Linked DNA regions of Nothobranchius furzeri. The protein of the gene in region 1 binds, or shares a complex with, the protein of each later gene. Links are inferred from orthologs where the notes say so. Each region holds a gene or a part of one and is shown in the gene's direction. Other genes may lie near its edges.

The links. Proteins that work in one complex are often made in the same cells at the same time.
Region 2: tectonic-1 (region 1) and tmem216 share a complex: the UniProt entries of both Homo sapiens proteins name them as parts of the tectonic-like complex. The link is inferred for Nothobranchius furzeri from reciprocal best matches to the Homo sapiens genes TCTN1 and TMEM216.

The regions. Positions count from the first base shown.
Region 1 is NC_091741.1:110,005,945-110,010,334, forward strand, and holds part of tectonic-1, read left to right. Parts: intron 1-9; coding exon 10-30; intron 31-1,047; coding exon 1,048-1,179; intron 1,180-1,850; coding exon 1,851-1,976; intron 1,977-3,708; coding exon 3,709-3,797; intron 3,798-4,390. UniProt on the Homo sapiens protein: Component of the tectonic-like complex, a complex localized at the transition zone of primary cilia and acting as a barrier that prevents diffusion of transmembrane proteins between the cilia and plasma membranes.
Region 2 is NC_091741.1:65,724,600-65,729,727, forward strand, and holds the start of tmem216 (transmembrane protein 216), read left to right. Parts: upstream 1-1,711; 5' UTR 1,712-1,733; coding exon 1,734-1,788; intron 1,789-2,322; coding exon 2,323-2,336; intron 2,337-2,403; coding exon 2,404-2,497; intron 2,498-2,716; coding exon 2,717-2,809; intron 2,810-5,116; coding exon 5,117-5,128. Other genes in the region: tmed9 (transmembrane emp24 domain-containing protein 9), read right to left, coding at 1-148. UniProt on the Homo sapiens protein: Part of the tectonic-like complex which is required for tissue-specific ciliogenesis and may regulate ciliary membrane composition.

The DNA.
Region 1 (4,390 bases):
TTCTCACAGGGAAAGAATGCAGACGCAGCCGTAAGTATTTATTCTTTTAACAGTTTTTTAAATCTTGTTATTAAAAATGGAACAAATATTTACCAGTGAACTCCGATCAGAACGTGCTGGACAGCAGGAGAGCCAGAGACCTTCTGCAGCTGCAAACCTCTTCGACTCGCCTACAGGAGGTCTAATTTACACCCAGAGCAGCTGGGACAAACCGGAAACAACCTTTCAGCTGTTCCAGGTTAGGATGGGACCACCAGACCGCTGTCTGTAGGTCCCAAAGCTAGAACGTGCAGCAGCTCACGCCACAGCCGTCACTCATCCCAGTCCCAACCTGAGAAGAGCTCTTCTGCTCTTCACTGGCCCGACTTTATGTCAGCAGATTTTACAGATCAGTGAAAACGTTAAGATCTGATCTTTGCTCCGTGTGTGTGTGTGTGTGTGTGTGTGTGTGTGTGTGCGTGTGCGTGTGTGTGTGCGTGCGCGTGCGTGTGCGTGTGTGTGTGCGTGTGTGTGTGCAATTTTTACATATGAACCAAGCTAAAACTGATTCACTGGCTCATCACTTTTATTGAAGTGCGTTAGAGTTAGAGCGCCATAGCTGAGATGGTTGAAAGGCTCTCCGGGCGTCTCTCCGCTGTGAAGATAAGATCCAGGAAGGTTCGGGGCGGCTCCGACCGAACTGCGTCCAGCCGCGGACCGGATCACAGACCGAAAACCAACAGCTCCATTTAATGAGCATGATCAACGAAGCTGCTTCTACGAACCACGGCCTCATTAACCTTCTCCCTCGAGGCGGACCTCCTTCACCCCTAGATGCTGATGATGGCTTGTGTTGTCATGTCGGACGGGATCTGCAGCTTTCACTTCTGCATGAAAATGTTATTTTAGAATACAATCAAGTAACGAGGGAAAGTATAAAAAGCAAATCATTCCTGGTTTTAGGGCAGGAGGACCGAGACAGAGGCTCAGTTCTGCGATGTAACAGAACCGTTCTGCTGCAGGTTCGGTACCAAGTGGAACTAATTTTGTTCTGGTTCTGGTTCCGAGGTTGTTCCTGTGAAGTTGGCTTCAGTCATCTTGGAGTCCACAGAGGGGACATGGAGCGAGCTGACAGACGGAGGTGGAGAAAACCTCACCCCAGTTCTCCTTAACTCCTCCTGCTTCAACGTGGTGGTCCAGGTGAGACCTGCTGGTCCAGTAGGAGTCTGACATAGTGTGCTGTCAGTTCACTTTCATACTAGTGAGATGGTGCTCCTAACCCGACCCCTGATCACCTGTCCAGACCTGCAGCTTATAGTGAGGACACTTTTCTCCCTTTAACCACAGTTCCTGTAGTAGCTACTCAGCGTGGCTTGACACAGGTTGGGTGGTGTTCCATTAACACTGAGAAACGGCTCTGGTGGGTGGGCTCGCCATAAAGCGTGGGGGTGTTGCGCTGGGCCAGTCAGCAACCACATTCATCTGAATTAGCATTTTTTCCATGACTCAGCACGCATGGAAGCAAGACCTTATCCAGAGATTAAAAACGACTGAGGTCCACGTTCCATTGTCCCATCCACATTAGGAAGTCGAGACCAAAATGAAGACGACTGCAGTGCGAAAGCATTCTTATTTTTTATTAAATACAAAGCAGTAAAGTCATCTGGACCTCGGCGTCCTCGGTGACGGACAGTCTGGGGAGGCAGCCTAGAACACGTTACTGAAGGAAATGCTGTGAAATGGCAACATCCCAGTGTCGGTAGGTTCTAATGGAACCATGGCTTTTGTGACCATCAGTTTGTTCAGAGAACTGATGAGGAGCTGTTTTAGTACCTTTAACTAATCAGTAGGTGTTTGATTTGTCTCTTCAGGTGGTCTATGTGCTGAAATATAACCCAGCTGGTGCAGTGGTGAATGCTTCTGTGTCTCTGGTTCTTGGACCTGTCCCTGAAGCCGCTCAGCTGCTGGATCAGCTGTTTCAGATCCAGTTTATTCAGGTACAGTACCCCACTGGGTCTTTCTGTGTCCCAGTAGGATTCCTGGCTCATCAAGTGACATGCTGACCCTGCAGGTAACCACGGCTTGTGTTTTGTGGAAGCAGGGCTGATGCATGGAGGATTTCCTTTCTCAGTCTAAGTCTTAAGTATTCAAATGAACAGTTGGAAAATGTCTAGTAGTGGACTCAGTGGTCTCCTTTAAAGAGCAGCCGAACACACATCTGTTCAGACGGGTTTTCGTCGGAGAAGGCTTAGTAAAACCCAACAGCGCCACCTAGGGTACGGCTCCCTAGGAATCGCTAAGCCCTTAACGCCATAGGCCAATTCACTCAAGAAGTTCAAAGATGGCGTTGTTCCGACGTTCAAGTTTCATTCATAAAAGTTTAAAATCTTTCTCTGAAGTCAAGAGACTTCATCAAATTTAACCGCAGTTGGATCTTCCCAGGTGGTGAATTAACTAAAGGAGAGCAGTGGGCATCCCACCGCCTCCAGGACACCCAGGAAACAGTGCCCACTGAAGACAAAAACAAAATCCCGCCACCACAGCAAACCACACAGGGGGGGGGGGATGCTACACCGGGGGAGGGGAAGAGCACCAACTACCAGCAGTCTCCAACTGGGAGCGAAAGGAAAAAACTAAACTACGCAGATATAAAGAGAGGCATTAAATACAGTCCTGTGGGTGGAGGAGTGTTGGTCATCCATCTGAGGACTCCGCGTTGATGGCCCACTCAGGTGCCTGCCTGCCAAGACTCTCAGCTGTTTGGGTTTCAGCCACACCACAGCTGCTTTTGGTCCCACAGCTCTAGCAGGTCAATGCCATTAGCTCGCCGTCCATCAGACGTCCCGGCGCCATCCTAGCCTACCACGGTGGCTCCTTTGGCCCTGTAATGGCTCTGTAAGCGTTGTCCCAAGCTGGCTGCTCCTCAGTTGTGCCCCCTCCTCATGCACTACTTAGGGCAGACGGAGAAGGCCCAAGCTCTGACCCCCCCCCCCAGCTTGTGGAAGGGAGGGATTGGTCACCCCATGCTGATGGGATGGCAGTAACCAAAAGCCTGATGGAGTAACAGCAATCAGAAGCCTCAACACACCAGCTGTGGTGAGCCAGGAGGCCACCAGGGCCCTGATTGGCTGGCTCCATAGTCAAGGGGAAGTGACAGCAGGTGGAGCAATCCGCTCCACTCTGCCACACATAGAAAAGGTACAGAGAATGGAGAGAAGTGATGAAACTTACTGTGGTGTCAGAAGCCTGACTCTTACTTTGATGACGTATTTGGACATCGGTGCGGTCGTGATGTGACAACGCCGCCAGCTGCTGGACGTTTAGCTCATCTCTAAGTCACTTCTACCTGAGAGCACTTCATCTGACAGTTACTCCACAAGTAGTCTGGTCTGGCTGCATTCTTACGGATTTGTCTCAGTACATTTTTCCTGAGAACTTTTATTCTAAGGCCGCTCAGTCAGATGTTTATTTATTTTTTATGAAACCTGATACTTTATTCTCTATGGTCTGGTGTTTGATCTCATGTGTGACAAAGTTTTCCTGAGACCCGAGGATGTCCTGTAATGCACATTTAAGAGACACGTTTCTGTCGTTCCACAGCTACAGACATGTATCTGGTAACGAGTGAATCTAGTTTTTAGTACAGAAAAAGCTGTCCAAAAAAACAAGTCACACGATAATGCTGACAATCAGCTAAAGGCGTTGTCTGTTTCACTTGTTTATGTAAAGGAGGCCGGTGGAGAAGTGGCTGTCCATCACAGTGGGAATCCAGGGTACGTGGTTGGACTGCCTCTTGTGGCGGGGAAAAGGACAACAGAATATCCTTTTTTTCTGACAATGATGGATTTCTCCGTACGAATCAGACAAATCTCACTTGAATAAGATTTTATCTCACAGACACAAACCATTTCACTTCAGAAAGAGGGAACTATGCTCTGAAACGTTCCAGTAGCCAGAAAGCATATTTAGTCACTCTTTTACACAATATGTTGCTGAAATGTTGCACAATGGTGTGCTACAAAAGCACCTAACCCAAACACAACAGCAGTGGGAGGAGCTCTGCCCTGCAGATTTCAGCTCTGTTCTCCTGCTTAGACACACCCGAGTCAATGATTGAAACACAAGTCTGTTATTGATGTAATGCAGGTGTGTTGGTGTAGAAACAGAAACCGTGCAGGTAGTGGCCCTCCAGGGCTGAGCAGCCTTGTTTTGAACTGTGCTGTTTAATTACACCAAGTGTTGTTTAAGGGGGCCCTTTACTCATTTGTAATACATCTGCAGTGATCGTTAGGAATGAAGGCCTTGTGAGATGGGTGGGCACTCAGATGCATCAGTTTCCACACAGAGAATTCAGCCAGAAGGTTGTAGCTTCAGACGACAGGATCTGGAGTCTTATTTCCTGATATTCAGA
Region 2 (5,128 bases), about 44 Mb from region 1:
TCGTCTCGTCTGGAATTTCCTCTATGAAACATTTCTTCTCGGTCTCTCCGATGTGAAAGTACAAAGAGGAGACGCAGATGTATAAAGCATTCAGGAATAAAACTGAAAACACAAACGACTGCTGCATCTTGAACCGCAACGACACCATCTTCCTGCCGGGACAGACTTGTCACTGAGCATGCGCAGGAACAACAGTGCCACGTAAACCCTCGAAAAGTCCTGGCCAATCAGTACGCTGCTGATGCATGCTGGATATTGCCGTTTTTTTGACACCTTGGCCCTTATTTGAATTAAAATGCTTTCAACGATTTTACAGAACCCTCTGCGATTTTTTGGTTTGGATCGAAATGGGATGTGATTAGTTTCAGAAAACGGATAGATTGATTTTCTGTATAAAGTGATCATTATTTGAACGTGATGGTTATTCTTTTGTCCGACAACAGACATACAATTTCATAAATAAACAATTAAACATTTTCTCCTGCAATCTTTGGGTGATAAATGATAGACTGAATGAATTTGAATTTATAAAGAAAACCAATAGGCTACTTCAGATGAAAAATAGAATAACCCAATTTTGTTTTGTTTTAGCTCTTTATTTGATGAATAATAGATTCATTTGTGGGAAAAATAATAAAGCTTGATTTGATATTTTATTAACGTAACTATATATTCTACAGAAAACACAAAAAACAAAACAGGTTTAGACCATCGACATACACATTAGACCCGTTTTTAATCCACGGGTGCACGTGAAAGACTGTAGAAACTCGATAGATCCAAAAGGGGGCAGTAGTGCAGCCCTTATGATGAAGAGGACCGAAAAAGAAAAACCAGCGCGACCGGAAGCACACAGACATGTAAAATGTAGAAGCTGCACTGAAATCCTCAGACTGCATAATGCATTTATGGCGTGAAATATAGTTTTCCTTTTTTGATTCATTACAAGCCTAAACGTTTTACGATTACAATAGTGTCGGAATAAACAGACAATATATATTTAAAAAAAACATACAACTGGTGAATAATTTTGAGCTAATGAGTTTGGTTTCTTTTAGTTTTAAAAACAATACATTCTTATTGATTTGGTTTAACTAGCACAAAATTATCTTAAGCTCAGTATACTGAAACGATCGATTACCCTGGTGATTGTATTACATTTTATGAGTAACAAACAACAAAAAAAGGCCTAAATAAAAAATAGCCTAAATTTTCTAAATTACTTGATTATTAATCACGAACAATTTTTATATGAAATAAAAATATTTTGATGAACACAAAACAGAGGTAAAGCCCAGTTTCAGTTAGACACCAATTAAACAAAATTAGTTTTCGTCACGTTTCTAACTAAAGATTGAAATGAATCGGGATTTGTCTTAATCCTGCTGTTAGTGTCTGTAGTGCAGTGCAGGCAGCTGATGGAGACTGTTCAGGGTCATCCTGACCAAATGAAGACGGGTGATGATCTGAATACATCTTAAAAAATAGAAAACATGAAGGCGAGTCACTTCTGAGATGCGCCTAAAATGTTCTGCACTGCGACCGGTGTGGATGGATTAAATTTTAAACAGAGATGTTCCGTACCACTGATGCTTCGAGTATGGATTGGGATTAGAGTAGTAAAAGATCTGCTGGCTTTTAGCTGTAAGCCGTTCCAAAAAGCCTGAGTCTGCTTCGCCCGTCTCCCTCTCCAATATGGCGGCTTCGAAATTACATAAAAGAAAGCAGCGTGTATGTGTTCTAAGTCTATGGTATCCATAGCAACCAGAAATCAAGACATGGCGCCTGGTGAGTTTCATGCAGTTGTTTGTTCCTTATAAACCGAATAAAAGTCCGCCGTCTGAATCTGTCGCGATGTTTATTTGGACCCAAATGAAAAGGGAAATGTAACGTTTTCGTTTCCGTTTGGAGGAAAAGCTAAAGAAAACGGCAGCCGAGGTTTATCTTGTCTGTGAACTGAAGCTAAGCGTCTGCTCGAACTGCGATGACCTAAAAATCAACACATTACTTATCAGCGAACACGTTACTGCGTATTACTCCTAAAAGCTACGCAGTAACAAATAATCTTTTTATTGTGGAAAACACGTATTTCGTGCTTTTTTACGTAAACAAAAATATTATTTTATAGATGCAAGATCCAGATGAGTGATTTTCTCTCTATATAAATAGCATTTAGAGCTAGTTACATCATTTAGCCCTACTGTTTTTCTTTTACTATTTTATCCATCAGTAGTAAGTCAGTAATTTTACTGATGCTGATTTTGAGCCTACAGCATACTAATTGCAGATGTTAATGAGAGCTTGGTTCTGTCTCTTCTGCAGGAAGCCAGCCTGTTGTATCCTTATATAACTGGCAGCTCATGTTTTACCTGCTGCTGTTATCCTTGACCGTCTCTCGTACAGCTCTCATCCACTCCTCTGCAGGTGCTCCTGTACCTGAACAGCTGGTACTTTGCTGCCTTCTACCTGGCAGAGATCCTCATGTTCATTTATAAAGGTCTGTGACATATTTACCAAATTTCCCACTTTCACAACAGCAGAAACTATAAACTCAGGAGGAACCATGATTAATCACATCTCAACTGTGCCTTCATCTGCTTTAGTTTTCAAATAAATCCTCAGTGTTCATGAGATAACACCTGGCAACCAAACAGCTCCTTGATGAAACCTTCTCTGTGGAAACCAAAAAGAGATGTGGTCCATTTTGTCTGTGCAGGAATCTTGTTGCCGTACCCATCAGACAATCTGGTTCTGGACGTGGTTCTGCTCCTTCTCTTCCTCGGTTTGGAGACTCTGAGGATCTTTTATGGTAAAGAACAGAAACAGCAAACATGAGTATTTAGAAATCAGTGTTTACTAGTTCTGTGAGCATGTATACGTCACCTCCTCCGGGTGACCACATACTTCCACAGTCACTATAGAGGCAGAGAATGGGTCTAGGGGTCTCATTTATCAGACATTGCGTAGATTCCTTAATAAAACCGTACTTAAGCTCAGCAAAAAAAAAGTACTTACGCCAAGCAGGTTTGTGATCTATCAAACATGGAGGACGCACAGCTGCACGCAATCTCCGCTTCATAAATCGGAGACTAACGAGAATGTTTCTCAGCTGCTTTTTAGTCACATCCCGCCCTCACCACAGCCACTTACTGCCATAAATAGCCAATGCAAAGTGCCTTGTGGATCTCATGCATATACATAAGCTGGCTTGTTGCAGCATTTCGATCACGACCGCAGATCAAGGAAGCGCTATTTCACAAGCAGAAATTCAGGTACTTGTGGGTGAGGTGGAGAAATGAAAGGAAGTGCTTTTGCAAAACAAGAGAAATTCCACGGAGTGGCACAATGTTGCTGAAGCCATCAATGTTTTGAATTCTTCAGAGAGATCTGTGGCGGATATAAAAAACTTTGTCCAATCAGGATTCGATCCCCAGACTCCCAGGTGAAAGTCACGCACGCTAACCAGCCACCCAAACAGAAATCTCCCCTGTACAAGTAGCCAGGGCGCATGATCAATCGGGTCACGGTGACAGGACGCTCACACTGTCTTGATCTGTCCCCCTGCTGATATTCTGCATTCCGTATTCTGCGCTTTAGGCTGTGTGTGTGTGCGCGCGTGTGTGTGTGCATGTGGGGGTCTTGTCTGTGTGAAAACGAAGCAGTACAAGTGATAATGCTGCAGGATTTCATAATTTTATCCTTCTCGGCAGCACTGCAGGTGCTCTCCATGTCCAACATGTGTGTAAGCAAGGTCCTTAGTCAACTTAAAGTTGCGCACATTTTCCTGCTAAGTTTTCTTTCATAAATCCCAAAGTTTGCGTGGAAAGTTCCTTACGCAGTTTTCCGACCCCGTGTTGTGTGTAAGCAAGCTTGATAAATGAGGCCCCAGGTCTATTTGTTTGATGCGCTGTCAGCTTCTCATGAACCCACAGAGAGATGGGATGCATTTCTCCATTTATTATAGCTTTTTACTGTTACAGGTGGCTTTAACTTAATTTGGGTCAAATCCCTAAACATAACGTGACCATGTAAACAAAGTAAGACGAACTGAATTGTAATGGTCAACAATAACTACGGCTACCCATCCCTCCTCTGTAAAACCACCAGGCGACAGACTGACAGCTCCTTTTGATTGCGACCACCTGCACCCATGTGGCCCCTGTTGCGTCACCATGACAACAAAAAGAGGAATAAAACAGAAACCCAGTGATCAACTCTCCCAACACATGTATTTAATTATGGCTCTACAGCACATGTAAGGACTTGTTTTTAAATCCCTGTGAAAATCCTGCACCAGACTGTCTTTGATAAATAACTGAACACAATCATTAAAACTGAAGCTGAACAGTTATATTAGTTATAACATAGAAGTCAGTGTCTCAGTTTGTGTGAACGTGTGTGTCTGAACACGTCATCCAGCAGGAGCTACTGAGAAGAACTCGTGAAGTGAAATGTTTACTGTAAACTCTTTAAACCTCTGATACAAGACTAAGCAGCCAAACCAGCTCTGATTTTAACTTAATGAATTTAACCAGTTTGAAACATGTTCAGTCATCACTGTTTATGAGACGTTTTATAGCAACAAGTACAACAGGTGTCTAAATATACTGAAATCAATTGATTTAAAAATATATAAAAAATAAAAGCTATATAAAGTTTTTAAAGAGGCTTGGATCCTCTGGTTTTAATATAAAGCTACGCACTTCCCAAACGTACCACATGAAATCTGAAGTCAAATCTTGGAAAAAATATCAAAAATCAAATCAAAACAAAACAACAACCACAACCAGTTCAATGACTTTCCCAACCAATCCACCAGTCTGAGGATTACCACAGCATACAGAAAGCAGGCAAAAAAATACCAAACAAACTTAATCATCATCACAAAGTGACATTTATGAGAATCTACACAAGTTCTATTTCATTTCCTGTTTTACCAAGGAAGACATAAATGTGCTTCTAAAAATTGAGGAGAATGTTTGGGTCGTCCCATCTGTGCTCTTGCCGTTAAAAGCCTCCGTTTGTGGGAGCCCTTCAGTGAAATGGAAGCAGGTTATTTTCTGCTTTAAGCAGATAGACCATCTCACTGAGTGGTGTGCATTGTGTCGTCGTCTAGGCTGGAAGGGGA